Ovis aries: one gene and its partners. The protein of the gene in region 1 purifies or fractionates together with the protein of each later gene. This does not show direct contact. Links are inferred from orthologs where the notes say so. Each region holds a gene or a part of one and is shown in the gene's direction. Other genes may lie near its edges.

Region 1 (5,432 bases):
ACTTGGTTGGACTTCTGCAATCCACAAGCTCTTATGGTTCGGTAAATGCCAAGAAAATTTTTTAAACATTGCCTAGACTGCCTCTAATCTCTATAAGATTCAAGCTGTCAATTTTTCATGCTTTTAGGAAGAAAGAACTATTTGGTATCCTTTAAATATTCTTCAGCTTCTCTTCCGATTTAACCTACAATAAACAAACAGTTCAGAACATTTCCCATAGCAATTCAGAATTGTTATGTTACTAGTAAAAACAGGGCTTCTGAGAAAAACTTGGTGTCTTCAAATTGGATTCTGAAGTTGTCCTTTTCCTTCAGTCACCACTGACATATAAAATGGTGGGCTCTGGTACTGGTTCGGGTCCCCTTGAGCCTTGAGATTTTCTAACCCTTGGCTAACCAGGGAAGTCAGGTCTAGGTCGGTTTCCCTGATGCAAAAAAGGGAGGCACCCTTACCACAAGTTCTGTGCCATAGGACAGCAGGTCTCTGACTTTGAAGTGTGTAGGAACCCCTCTTGCAGTTCTGCAGTTGGCAGTGAGCCTGAGAGAGTGCGTTACTGACAAGTTCCCAGGTCCATCCAGGCTGATAGTCTTCCAAACACACTTTCGGATAGCAATACCTTAGGGCACGTAGCAATGAATCTGGAGCCTGTAACTAGGAGAAAACAGTTTCAATGGGGAAATCGCTTCATTTTTATGAGGAAGAATCACAGTAGTCAAAAGTTTGTTGTAGGTGGCCTCCTGTGTTTGTGAGACTATGAACAGAGTAGGAGGCTAGATTTCAGGATAGGAGGCCATGTGAAAATTTTTTAATGAAACCCCCCCCCTTTTTTTTTTTTTACTAATCCTGTCAGTAACCTGAACTATGTATTCTTAATGCTAAAATTTTTTATTAATATAAAAAGTTGCTTGACTGGACTGTCCTAAAAAATGCCTTTTTTTTTTTTTAAATAGTGGTTTAGCTCCCTCTGTACACACTGTCTTTCATACTGCTAGACTGAGCTGTCTAGAAACAGTAAACTAGTCAAAGGCTTAAATACCTAACACTAAGAGTAGTAGGCAAGATTTTAAAAGGAAAAGAAAAAAGTACAAATTCATGCTTTTAGATCTTACTGGGTTCTCCTGTCAGTGGGAACAGAGGTACTATAAAGTCATTTCCCAAAACATAGGCATGTAAACGTGCGTTTTGCGGGAGCTAAGAATGTACCAGCTGTATCCTTGATAGAGTCTTAGATTTAAATAATCTTAACAGGGTGGGGGTTTTTATCATTTGGTTATTAGAACAATAGTCAACTTGCTAATCTTCCTGTGTTGCTTTTTCTTATTGTATCCTCTTCTTTCCTTAGTACAATAAATAAAGAACAATTTTCAAAGAGAAAAAATGATACTCTGGATCCTGAACTGTAAGTAGTTCCCCTTGAGTAGTACACTTTCATTTTCCGTCTTGCTTTCATTCTTTTGGTTTGTGCAGCCAGTGTGGTGATGCTATTATTCTTGGGCTAAGTCTGTAGCCTACATCTAGGAGACAAGGTAGAAATGTTAAAAATCGAGGCTATGGTTTACATTTGCATTTCACTAACCCTCCCTAGTGTTTTGGTGCTCTTGTGAGGTGCCAGGCTGCCTCTGCTCAGTGCCGTTATTCCAGCCTTGTCCTGTGTGTTTTCCAACCGTTTAATAATCGCCTCCTTTATTGTGACACCTTTCAGAGGTACAGAAGTGTACTGGTACTAGACATTCCTGGAATGGACAGGATCGTGTCAGACTTGGAGGTTTAAACAGCAGTCGTCTTTTCTATCACTTTTTACTCCATAAAATGACTGAATTTAACTGCGTTTGAGATTCACTCTACCTGTTACACTAAAGAGCTTTTAAACACTGTTACTTCAGTTCTTTGGACATGATCTTGGCCATCTTTTGAATTGTCAGAAAACGAGAAATACCGGCACTTTTGATTTGGTTCAAGTTTTGGATTTAACTCGACGTTTTGCCTTTGCAGGTTTGTTGAGTGTACAGAGTGTGGGAGAAAGATGCATCAGATCTGTGTCCTTCATCATGAGATCATCTGGCCATCGGGGTGAGGCATCAGTATTTTCCCCAGACTTTAGCAAGTTTTTGTCATCTTTGCAATGACTGTATTTTATTGTCAAAATTACTGCCTCTTAGAATTATTCTCTGGATTGGGAAAAGGTCATTAAAATTCAGTTTTGGAACAGTAATCAACCTGGAATCCAGAACAGGCCTTCTCTTACTACAATGTGTTAGTCCATGTAGAGACACTTCTCTCTGCTGGTTCACTATTTCTAAATTCTTTGGTGGTTATTGTGCATCAAAAGTAAATATAGAGGATTTATCAATAGAGGTAACAGGAAATCTGTAGCACCTAGAAACTAGAAAGGAAATGTTAGACACAACTAAGTGTTAATCACTCGGTCATGTCCAACTCTCTGTGACCCCACGGACTGTAGCCCACTAGGCTCCCGTGTCCATGGGGTTTTCCAGGCAAGGATACTGGAGTGGGTTGCCATTTCCTTCTCCAGAATATCTTCCCAACCCAGGGATAGCACACGGCTCTCCCACATTGCAGGCAGACTCTACTGACCGAGCCACAGGAAAGCCCTGAAAGTGTTAGTTGTGTCAACTAAACTTGACAGATGTTGAGTGTTGCTAATATCCCAGAGGACAGACTAGATGATACCAGTAATGGAGAGCACCAAAACGACGACTTTGTTTCTGCCTCTGAGAGAACATTACAGTGAGATTGTATACTGAATAGTGGCCCTGGTTAGACTTGAATTATTTAAAGTCTTTTGGGCAGTTGGATAACAGGTAACATGGGTGTTCCCCACTGAAAGGCAGAGATACGTGAAAATGATGAGATACAGACTTCAGTGAACTAGATACGCTTGGGCCTCATGTTTTGTTTCTTGAGTATTCTCCACATATCTACCCAGGCTGCATATCATCAGTGCCTTTCACGGAAATAAGTGGATTTTTGTCCATTGTGACACTGCCAAGTGTTTACTGCCATGGCTACCTCTCTCCAGGAATGAGGCTGCTCCCAGCTCTGTTCAAGGGAAAGGTTGGGGAGGGGATGTCTGTGCATTAAGTGACTCTCATCAAGATGGGAGCTCTACTCTCTCCTCTGCTTTTTTCCTGGACTAACTTGATGCTAGTTTAGAGTTCGTGGGGGAAAAGGAGGCTAAATAACAAAATTTCCAGAAAAAAAAAAACACTAAGGAAAATTGTAGTAGGTAAGCTTGTCTTTTGATAGGTTTCTCTCTCTCTTTTTTTTTTTTTTTTTGCTTTTTTATTTTTTTAATTTTCAAACCTTTAATTCTTACATGTGTTCCCAAACATGAACCCCCCCTCCCACCTCCCTCCCATAACATCTCTGTGGGTCATCCCCATGCACCAGCCCCAAGCATAGGTTTCTCTTCTTAATTACAGAGTAGGCAAGGATCATGAGACTTGCAGTGATCCTTGCAACTGAAGGTCAGCCAGCTGGTTGATGAGTACTTATGTGTTGTCCAGTTTTTCTCAAAATTCTACTTATGCACACATCCTTATGTAATTTCAGGAACAAAGAGAATGTACATATAAAATCTATTCATGCTGCTTTCAAAATGTCCCTTTTTATAGTCCCACTGGTAACATATACACTTCTGCTAATGTGATTGACTAAAAAATAAAATCTCTGCTTTAATCTGTGATTCTTCATCTTTGCACATGTAAACTAGTTTATATTCTCTTTGTATCTTTTACCTATTTATCTTTTTTCTCTTAATGTTTTCTGAAAGCTCTTTGTATATTGGTTGTATTTCTCCCAGGTTGTTTTTTTGTTTATTTTCAACCTTACGCATACATAAGATAGATTCTGTAGAGTGCGTTATTTGAAATGCTCCTTTAAGTTGTTAAACAAAGTCTCGGTTTACATTTTAGATTTGTCTGTGATGGTTGTTTAAAGAAGACTGCACGAACTAGAAAAGAAAATAAATTTTCTGCTAAAAGTAAGTTCCTTTCTTACAGGTAAATTATGGGAAAACTTTGCTTGAAACATCATTAAAAATTAACATCCAGAAAGAATTATTTTGTTTCAACATTATTTAAAATATTTAACCAAACTAAACAACAAATAATTTTTCCATGATGTACTTGAAGTTCTACTGTAGTATCCTTTTTGGTGTGAAGTTACTTATACCTAATAATGTGTAAAAAAGCGCAGATGTATTTTTCTTATTCCAACACATTTCCTGACAGAGGCCAGCATTGCCATCCCGTGAGTGATTCCCTCAGTTTTGTGGAGGGGCTGCATTTAGCCCTATGTGATCTTTTCACTTGGTGGGTGGCAGTAGTTTTAGTTCTGGAGATAGATGCCTGTGCAGTTTTTTGCTGTTCTGTGTTGTTGTTTAGTCGCTAAGTTGAGTCCATCTCTTTGCGACCCCTTGGGCTGCAGCATGCCAGGCTCCCCTGTACTCCACTATCTCCAGAGTCTGCTCACATTGATGGCCATTGAGTCAGTGATAATCTTGCTAGTGTTGAAAAAGCAGAAGTGAGATACGGTATTGAAATTTGACTGGTAGTAATAAATGTGCACCTTGGCTACTCCTGAACTTGTCACTTGTAAATCCTAGGACTGCCATCTACCAGGCTTGGGACATTTCTGGAGAATCGTGTGAATGAGTTTCTGAGGCGACAGAATCACCCTGAGTCAGGAGAGGTCACTGTTCGAGTAGTTCATGCTTCTGACAAAACTGTGGAAGTCAAACCAGGCATGAAAGCAAGGTATGTAGTAATTTCCCCCTTTCTTATCTGTGGATCCACAGTTGCTCACACATAGTTACTGTTGATGATTCTAATCTGAATGAAATGTTGTACTTCTTCCCTCCACTATGAATTGTATAGATTTGTAGATAGTGGAGAGATGGCAGAATCCTTTCCATATCGAACCAAAGCCCTCTTTGCCTTCGAAGAAATCGATGGTGTTGACTTGTGCTTCTTTGGTATGCACGTTCAGGAGTATGGCTCTGACTGCCCTCCACCCAACCAGAGGTAGGACTTTACTGTGGCTACTTTCTAATTTGTGTGGAAGTTTGAAATTACAGTCAGGTGAACAAGCGTAATGGATAAGAAAATGTTTGATGTGCTTTTTTTGGAAATGTAAGTTCTCAAGTGTGTAGTATAGAAGTGAAACCAAAAAAAAAAAAGAAAATACTGCTCTTTCATGTTCATAATAACAGGGAAAGAGATATGAATGGCAGCCTAAAATATGACTTTTCAGAAAATGTACTTAAATCTAGGCTGAGTACCTTCTTGAGATGTAAAAGAATGTCACACAAATGAAGTAGAGTATGGTGTAGAATTTTCCACGTAGTATAAAGGCCAGAATAAGAGTCTGTCAGAATGTATTTGGATCGCTCAGTAGTGACTAATTATGCT
Region 2 (4,068 bases), on another chromosome or scaffold:
CTGGACATGTGTAGGGGGTGGACGTCAAGAAACTGGCAGATCCAGCCCAAGAGCCGCCCCCCTCCCCCACCTCCGCCACTGGCCCTCGGGACTGGGAAGGATTGCCAGGAACGTGGTGGGTGGGTGGCCGGGCTGCCTGAGCTAGGGGGGAAATGGTGCAGCTCTGGACCGCGGGTGGGGGCGGGGAGGTCGGGCTGAGGCCGGCTGCTGTGACAGGCGTGTGGCCAGATGGCTCGGATGGAACTGACATCAACTCCCTGTGCCGCTCCCACAACGAGCGCGTCGTGGCCGTTGCCGACGACTTCTGCAAAGTGCACCTCTTCCAGTACCCGTGCGCGCACGCCAAGGTGAGGCCTCCCGGGGCCTCCGGGGTGGGGCGGGCGGCCGGAGCTCCTCGGCCGCTGCAGCTCCATCTTCTCTCCTGCCCAGGCGCCGAGCCTCGTGTACGGTGGTCACGGCAGCCACGTGACCAGCGTCCGGTTCACGCACGACGACTCGCACCTCATCTCGCTGGGCGGCAAGGACGCCAGCATCTTCCAGTGGCGAGTGTTGGGCGCTGGGGGCACGGGGCCGGTGCCCACCACGCCCTCTCGAACCCCCTCCCTGTCCCCTGCCTCCTCTCTTGACGTCTGACCCCTGCCGGACTGGACCCACCGGCCCTGCAGTGTGGCCCTGCCCCCACCCACCCAAATTCCCCAGGACCGAGGTGACCCTGTCCTCGACTTCGAGACATTCCCAAAAGTGCATTTCCTTGGAGGGGGCGAACGGCACCCCTGCACACACTGTATAGACCCGCTGGCTGAGCCGGGCAGCCCCAGCCTGGGCCCTGACTCCCGCTGCCTGCTGAGGGGCAATAAACCAAAAGCAAAGTCGCCTCCCGGTCCTTTTGTGGGGCGCGGCTGGGCGCCTCGGGGCTTTATGGGGGCGGGGAGGAAGGCAAAGGGGAATGCGGAAAAGGTGAGGGAGGGTGGACTTTTTATGCAAATAACAGGCGAAGCCTCTTGCAAATAACTGCGAGGCTCAAAGGCCCTTCGAGTTTTTCGCGGCCGCTGGTGGAGCTGCAAGACTCCGGCTAGCAGAGAGTTAAGCCCAACTCCTCTCCCCGCCCTCGGAGGCGGGGCCGAGCCGCAACGGAAATAGCCGAGTGCCGGGCCGCGGTTGGCCGGAGGGAGCCGAACTTCTTCCGGAAGTAGCCGAGCTTTGCGGGCTTGCTCTCCGACCGGAGCCGAGTGCTGGGCCTTGTTCTCCGGATCCGCCGAAGGTGTTCCGGAAGGAGGCGAACCCCGAGGCGGGCCGGCAAGTCTTCGCGGCGGCCCTCAGAGTCCAACGTCTGGTGGGACTCGGCGAGGGCGGAGGTAGTTGCAGCCTGCCTCCGGTCCGGCGGGATCCGAGCTCGTTCCGGAAGAAGCCGAGCGGACCGGCGCCGGTCTCGGCGTCCCGGGCGTGAGGCTATAGAGGCGGCGGCGACAGCGCGGGCCGGGATGAGCCGCGACGGCTGAGGCTGCGGAGGCGCCGGCTGCGCGGGCCCGACTGAGACTTCTGCGAAGCGCCGGCCCCGCGCTCAGGGCTTCGCTTCGAGTCCTGCCCTCGGGAGCCTTCCGGACCCCTTTGTGCGGCCGGAGGCGGCGGCGGCGGCGGCGGGAACGGCCATGGCGGCCAACATGTACCGAGTGGGGGGTGAGTACCGGGTGTTAGGGGCTTCGGGACTCGGGGCGGGAGAGGCTCGGCTCCCAGCGGCGCGGGGACCCGCGTCTGGGGCGGCGTGGTCCAGAGCGCGGACCGGAACCGGAACCGGGAGCATGGGGAGCGAGGGCGCGGGGATCGCGACGCGCCCGGGCTCCGAGACTCCCGGGGAGGCTGCGGGCGGCCCGACGGCACTCTCAGGGCAGCGTCTGGGCCGCCGGGGTCGTGGAGTGGGCTTGCGAAAGTGGTTCCAAAGGGGCTGACAGGGCAGGCAGGGGGCGCGAAGGGCCGGCGCAACTGCTTGGCCACCAACGGGGGAGCGGCCGGGAGGTTTCCTTTTCCCAGGCGTTATTGTGCGCCTCGGTTCACAAAGGTGGGGGCCCTGTACAGGGATGAGCAATTGCTCTCCTGAACGAGACCGGGATGCAACTCCATCGCTGAGTTGTGGGGACTGCTGAGCAGGGGAACCCCCTGCTTCTCTTGTCTCCTCCTTAAGGCTCACTTTTGAGCGGAGGATCTGATTTAATAACTGGGTGATTAGGGGGTGGAACGTCCGTCCATTATTTTCTGCTAGTCTGTACACTTCCACATTTCTGCGTCCTCTCTACCTAGACCCTTATCTCCTTTTGGTCTACTCAGGCCTCCTTTCGCTCCTCCCACTCTGGTGCTGGACTCTCCCATCTACTCCTCTGATCTTCCCGGTTCTTCCCCCACCCCCTCCTACAGATTACGTCTATTTTGAGAACTCCTCCAGCAATCCTTACCTGGTTAGAAGGATTGAAGAGCTCAACAAGGTGAGTAGAGCAGAGGCCCGCCACTCCCCCCCTACCCAGCAACCTCCGTCTTCTTTTTTCAGAGATCTGTAACTTCAGGTGAATGAGAGACAAGCGATAACAGAAACCCTGTCCTAAGTACCCATGCATATTCATTCATTCATTTCTTCCACGCTTTCAGGAAAGGCTATTAAGAGTTTAGTGGGAACTTTACTGTTCTGTTTTTTGGGGGGCTGAGGAAAGGGATTTGGAAGTCTGTCCTTAAATGTGAATCTCTTGATTCATAATTTGAGTTTTTCTTACATCCTTTAGAAACTTGTTCACTGATGTTAGTCTCTTCTTTATGCATTTCCACTTTCAAATGATTAGTTTTCACCACCGTTTTTTCTCTCCTTAGACTGCAAATGGAAACGTGGAGGCAAAGGTTGTGTGCCTTTTCCGGCGAAGGGACATTTCGAGTAGCCTCAACAGCCTGGCTGATAGTAATGCCAGTGAGTGTCTTTGTCCCCACCCCCGGTTTCCCTGTCTCCCCCTGCCCATGATCTGAAGCCTGGGCATGTCCCTGCAGGTGTTCTCTTGTAGCATGCCCAAGGCAGGGGTGTGAGTTTGGGGGTGGGAAGTGCCTGGTCTGCAGAGGGAGGCCTGTTTTTACATGTTGGGTTAGAAGCAAGGTGGAGAGGCCATGATAAGGAAAGCCAGAATTTGGCTTGTGTGTGAGTGTGTATTTTTGAATCTGCCTTTGTGAATGGTGTATGTTAAAGAGATGATAGTATGTAAATCGGGGATGAGGAAGCACTTTAGAGAAGCAGATCTCTAGGGGGACAGTTTCGGTTGTGTTGGGATGATAGGTGGTGACTGCGAAGGTCAGGTGAAGAGAAGAGACTGGACTGAGAAGCCTGCATAATAGGAAGGCAGGTTTTTGGTGTGATCATGAGGTGGTAAGACTACACTGATGGGAGAAAATAGGAAGCCAGGAACATTTTCTTGCGCTTTTTCTCTATTCTCACATAGCCTAGGACTCACCTAGCCCTGGACTCCATTTTACATCTTTCCCTTTTCTTTTCAGCCTATCCTGCTTCTCTTGATGCTTTCATCTTTTTAGATACACAGCTTTCTGTTTTCTTATAGTTTCTTTTTCCTTTCCTGCTTTGGCTTTCTTTCCCCTTTCTCTTGTTCTTCCTTTCTAAATTATTTTCCTTATTTTGGGCTTCTTTGAGCATTGGGCGTGAAGGGGTTAAGGAGGACCTGGGCCGACCAAGTTCTCTGGCTCTCTGGGGTTTCCAACCCTGTCTGGCAGGGGCTGACCTTGGTCTTGTCCAATCGGAAAGGCTGTGGGGGGTGTGGTCCCCCTTGCCTTAGCACAGGGTTTCCGGAGCACACAGGCAAGGGGTGGAGCCTACTGCACACCCCTGCCCCCCCCTTCTCCTTGAGGTTGGGAACAATGCACCAATGAGCCTGGGCCTGTGGCTCTTCTGCCCCCTCCCTGTTTGGTTGGCACCCAACCAAGTTAACCCTTTCCACTAAGGTTTCAGGGCAAGTTGCAGCTCCTTGGGGAATAAGGTGTTGGCACTGGCTTGAGAGGTACTGTCCTTGAGAGCCCCCAAAACAAACT
Region 3 (4,191 bases), on another chromosome or scaffold:
AGTCAAATATTTACTAGCAAAATAAAAAGGATAATTTTGTTACTGGCTCCCAAAGATTCCTGCTTCAATAAGGACTTTTTGTTTGTTTTTTTGATAGGGATGGGAGAGAATGTGTATCTGGGGAAATGTATAAATGGTAAATGGGCTTCCCAGAGGGCTCAATGGTAAAGAATTCACCTGCCAATGTAGGAGACCGGAGTTCCAACCCCGGATCAGGAAGATTCCCCTTGAAGAGGAAATGGCAACCTGCTCCTCTCGGAGGGGGGCACAGTCCACGGGATCGCAGAGTCAGACAGGGCTGAGTGACTGAGTCTGCACTTATAAACAATAAATGGTATATGGGAATAAGAGCATCCCCCACCCCCACCCCAATCACCTACAAGGTGGGTGGCTGAAAAGGCTCCATGTTTGATGACTTATTGAACACAGGGGCAAAGGTATTTATAACGTCCAAAAGTTCTGAAAGTCCTTTCTCTGAACTTTATGCTGCCATCTTCCAGTGCCCAGCCAGCAGAAGCAGTCATAATGGAGTAGCTAGGATGTGTGGACTTTAGAGAAAGGCTGAAATCAAACCCCAGACCATCAACCTTGGAGAGGACCAAGTGCGTTATAAAGTCCATTTATAAAGAAGAACTAGAAACAATACTTAACGTCCCAGCTTACTCCCAGTTGTTGGGAGTCTCAATCGAGTTAACACATATAAATGAAATACATAATAAATTACTTAGAACCCTAACACATACATGCATGCCATAACTGCCTATTTAAAGTCAGGCAGTACTCTCTGCTCTTTAATGTCTGCAATAGGTCCCCTTAATAGGGGGGACCTCTTCCGAGGTCAAAACCTCCTCTCAGCGATTATCAGTAGAAAATGAAAAAAATAAATGAAATGCACGACGACCCAGTACAGGGGGCGTGGGTTGCAGCTCGGCGGGTTCAAGAAGGTCGAAGCGGTGGGATAGTGGTCTCTCTGCGCCCGGCTCAGAGCACGTGGTCCGCCCCGGCGGGAGCTTCGCGACAGAGGGGGAGGGGAGCAGCGTGGGACTTCGCGGAGGGGGTCCAGGCGGCCCGGGCTACGGTTGGGGAGGCGCCGACTGCGCAGGCTCAGGATAGGCACAACCACTGCGCAAAGATCCGAAGGGGGGAAGCTTGCACCCGGCTCCATGCTCCCTTTACCTACCTAATCTAAAAGCGAAAGCCTGCTCTTTAAAAAAGAAATCCTTTTACGACTGTATAGGGTAGCCGTCCTGTGCAAGTCGCTCATCATAAGAAAGCCTCTTTTCCCAAATTGAAGAAGCCTCTTGCCCCCTCCTCCCCCGTGGAGTCGCAGTGGACCCGCCCCACCTCCCCTCGGCCTCCGGAGGTAGTTTGGCGCCCCCCTCCCCCTCCCCAGTGTCGCGAGTTGGCGCCGCTGCCACCCCCTGGTCCGCGCTCTCGGCCCTTCGGCCGGGCGGTACCCAGCCCTCCCGGCTCCCCCCCTCCTCTCCTCCCTCCGGCCTGCCCTTCCCCGCGGGACTGCCACCCTCCACCTTCGCCCCAGCCTTCTCTCCCCGCCGGAGCCGCGGAGGCAGCAGTAGCAGCAGCAGCAAGAGGAGGAGCCGGAGGCGGCGGTGGCCGGGGAGCCCATGGCGTACAGTCAAGGAGGCGGCAAGAAGAAAGTCTGCTACTACTATGATGGTGAGACGCCGGGCAGGCGGGAGGGTGGGCGGCCCAGGGCTGTGGCGCCGGGCCCGGAGCCGCATCGGCTCTGCGGCCGCCGTCGCGAGTTGTCGCGCCGGGTGCTGAGGGGTCAGGAGGAGGGACCGACTTTTGGCAGCATCTTAACCCATTCCCGACCCGACGCCGTCCGGCAGCCTCCTCGGGGGGCTAAACGGACGCCCCACTTTCCCTCCGGCCCCTCTCGCTCCGGCAGTGCGGTCCGCCGCCGGCCTGCCTTGGCTTGGTGCTGGTGCGAAGGGGACGGCCCTTCCTCGCGCCTGTCCCGCCCGCCGCTCGTGGGAGGGAGGTTTTGGGGGTCCCCTGCTCCGGCCGCCTGCACCCTATTTCTTCTCGCGGGCCGAAACAGCTACCCCGGCCCAGACTGCACACAAAGCCCCACGGCCCCGAGAGCTCCGCCCCTCCAGCCCCCAACCCTCCCCTCCCCGCCTCTTCCCTCCTCTGTGTCCCCGGCTGGCTCGAGCGTCTCCTCCTTTTCTCTGCCGCCGGCCTCACCCTGGACCCCTCGACCGGGTTGGGTGCTGGAGAGTAGCCCCTGAGGGTGGGGGCCCACGTCCACCTGGAGGCTCGTTCGCACCCTTGTTTTGCGTGGGCTCCATCCCTTTCCTTTGTTTGCCGGGTTCTCTGAGCGCCACTTTCTCAGCACTTAAATGAAAGGGCTTCACTTCCTCAATAAATAATGAGGGTTTTCGAGTTTGAGGTAGTCAGTCTTCACGGGAAATGCGACGGTGGTGGGGCAGCGTGTTGTCGCTCGTGTTGTAGATCAGCCTCAATGGGTCCTGGCTTGCCTCTCTGAGAGGCGGTTACCACCCACTTCTTTGTTGCTCTTTGTTCGATCAGGAAATACACCCTGCTTTGGAGGTGTAGGACCGATAGGTTTGGCATCTGGCTTGCGAAAGCTGTTTCTAGGTGGTGGGAGTCCTGGTGTTGGAAAACTTTGAGGAGTACGGCAGAAAGTACTAAATAATCAGATAAGCTTGAGCTCATGGAACAGTAAATTATAAAAATCTAATTATTTCGTTTTAGAGGTCCTGACTTCATTTGCAATTTGAGCAGTAAGTCTTTTTGAATCCCGTTTCCTGTGCTAGTCTAAATTAAACTAAAAGAAGTTGTTACCTTTTTTATAGTTTGCACGAAGATATTAACTTGGTAAATGGTTCCTAGTTAGGTTACTCTCCAGAGAAGAAATTCTAAAATTTAACAAAGAAGCTAGGTTCAGGGACCTGAAAGTCCATCTGATTTGTGTGAAGCAATAAAAATTTTGGAAGCTGTTTCCTACATTCAATGTATCATAAATCGTAAAATCATAGACTGATGGAAAGATCTTAGAGGACTAGGTCAGAATAAATCTAGACTTTAATTTTAAAATGGCCATATCATATCTCTTCAGTTAGCAAGCATGAATCATTTTCATGCCTGTTTATATAAAATAACCACCTGTGTAATTTGTGGAACAATCTAAAATCTTACAGAAGAAATCTAAGTGTTAAATATTAACAGCCATGTTTTTAAAATATTTTTTGAGAAGACTGCATGTATATGTGATACAAATTGATTTGAAATTATGCCATCATGAAGGGGTGGAGATGGGAGGAGATTTTAATTTTAATGTAAATTGCTGAAGTTCCTTCGAGTTAATTTTTTAAGAGTTCATGCATATTTTGGGTCACTGGCCTTGACTTGGGTTCCATGACCAAATTGAAAAGTAAATAACCATGTGTGTAACTTAATTTTTAAAATTATATTGTTTCTAAGGTTTAGAGATGTGTTAGCAGGGCTTGGGGTAGAGAAGAAGGGTTTTAAAAGGTTAGGGTAACTGGTACTAAGGCTCTGCCTGCAGCTGTTAGTTGCTGTTGACAGTGATAGACTCTGATGAAATGAGCTGCTTGAAACTTCTTGTCACCAGGCTTGAACTGCAGAACCAGAAGGTACACTTAAGTAGCAGTTTTATCAACAGCTATTCTTTTCCTGGGCCCATTTACAATGAGCCTTCATTGAGGGGATGGGAGCAAGTATTGATCCCAAGAGCAGGATGCAGACTTGATAGGAAGAGTAATCTTTGTGATTTAGTCAATAGTTTATAGTGGACCATTCAGCTGCTTCATCTGATGGCCAACAGCAGGTGTATAATTGAATGTTTAGATGTCTCTGGTTAGGTTATCTGTCTTTTGTCTATGGCTCTTCCTTGACTAATTTTTAGAATGGAATATGTAATTGCTTACATTGGGAATATGCTCTGGGTTCTTTTTGTGGGGGTGGGCTAATAAAATATTTTGCACAGGTTATTAAAATGAATAGGTATCATTATGCTAATTCTTTGTAGGTGATAGTATGTTAAGCTGTGGATAGTTAATTCCAAAAGCTTAGATTTTCATCACCAGGAAAACCCTATTTTGTCAGCTTATAAGGATAGTGATAGTAGTTTTTTTTTTTTCAATTGTGAGGAAAGAGCTTGTGCATCAGAGAACTGACTCT

The links. Proteins that work in one complex are often made in the same cells at the same time.
Region 2: the proteins of EP300 (region 1) and MTA2 purify together in Homo sapiens (affinity purification with mass spectrometry, with the first as the bait; 3 studies listed by BioGRID). This does not show direct contact. The link is inferred for Ovis aries from reciprocal best matches to the Homo sapiens genes EP300 and MTA2.
Region 3: the proteins of EP300 (region 1) and HDAC2 purify together in Homo sapiens (affinity purification with mass spectrometry; 4 studies listed by BioGRID, with this or other methods). This does not show direct contact. The link is inferred for Ovis aries from reciprocal best matches to the Homo sapiens genes EP300 and HDAC2.

The regions. Positions count from the first base shown.
Region 1 is NC_056056.1:218,157,914-218,163,345, forward strand, and holds part of EP300 (histone acetyltransferase p300), read left to right. Parts: intron 1-1,342; coding exon 1,343-1,399; intron 1,400-1,992; coding exon 1,993-2,070; intron 2,071-3,935; coding exon 3,936-4,003; intron 4,004-4,627; coding exon 4,628-4,778; intron 4,779-4,898; coding exon 4,899-5,045; intron 5,046-5,432. UniProt on the Homo sapiens protein: Functions as a histone acetyltransferase and regulates transcription via chromatin remodeling. Acetylates all four core histones in nucleosomes. Histone acetylation gives an epigenetic tag for transcriptional activation.
Region 2 is NC_056074.1:37,480,782-37,484,849, reverse strand, and holds the start of MTA2 (metastasis-associated protein MTA2), read left to right. Parts: upstream 1-1,268; 5' UTR 1,269-1,649; coding exon 1,650-1,677; intron 1,678-1,781; exon of another isoform or gene 1,782-2,056; intron 2,057-2,409; coding exon 2,410-2,477; intron 2,478-2,853; coding exon 2,854-2,947; intron 2,948-4,068. Other genes in the region: EML3 (echinoderm microtubule-associated protein-like 3), read left to right, coding at 217-347, 430-633. UniProt on the Homo sapiens protein: May function as a transcriptional coregulator. Acts as a component of the histone deacetylase NuRD complex which participates in the remodeling of chromatin.
Region 3 is NC_056061.1:23,732,514-23,736,704, forward strand, and holds the start of HDAC2 (histone deacetylase 2), read left to right. Parts: upstream 1-1,391; 5' UTR 1,392-1,625; coding exon 1,626-1,677; intron 1,678-4,191. UniProt on the Homo sapiens protein: Histone deacetylase that catalyzes the deacetylation of lysine residues on the N-terminal part of the core histones (H2A, H2B, H3 and H4).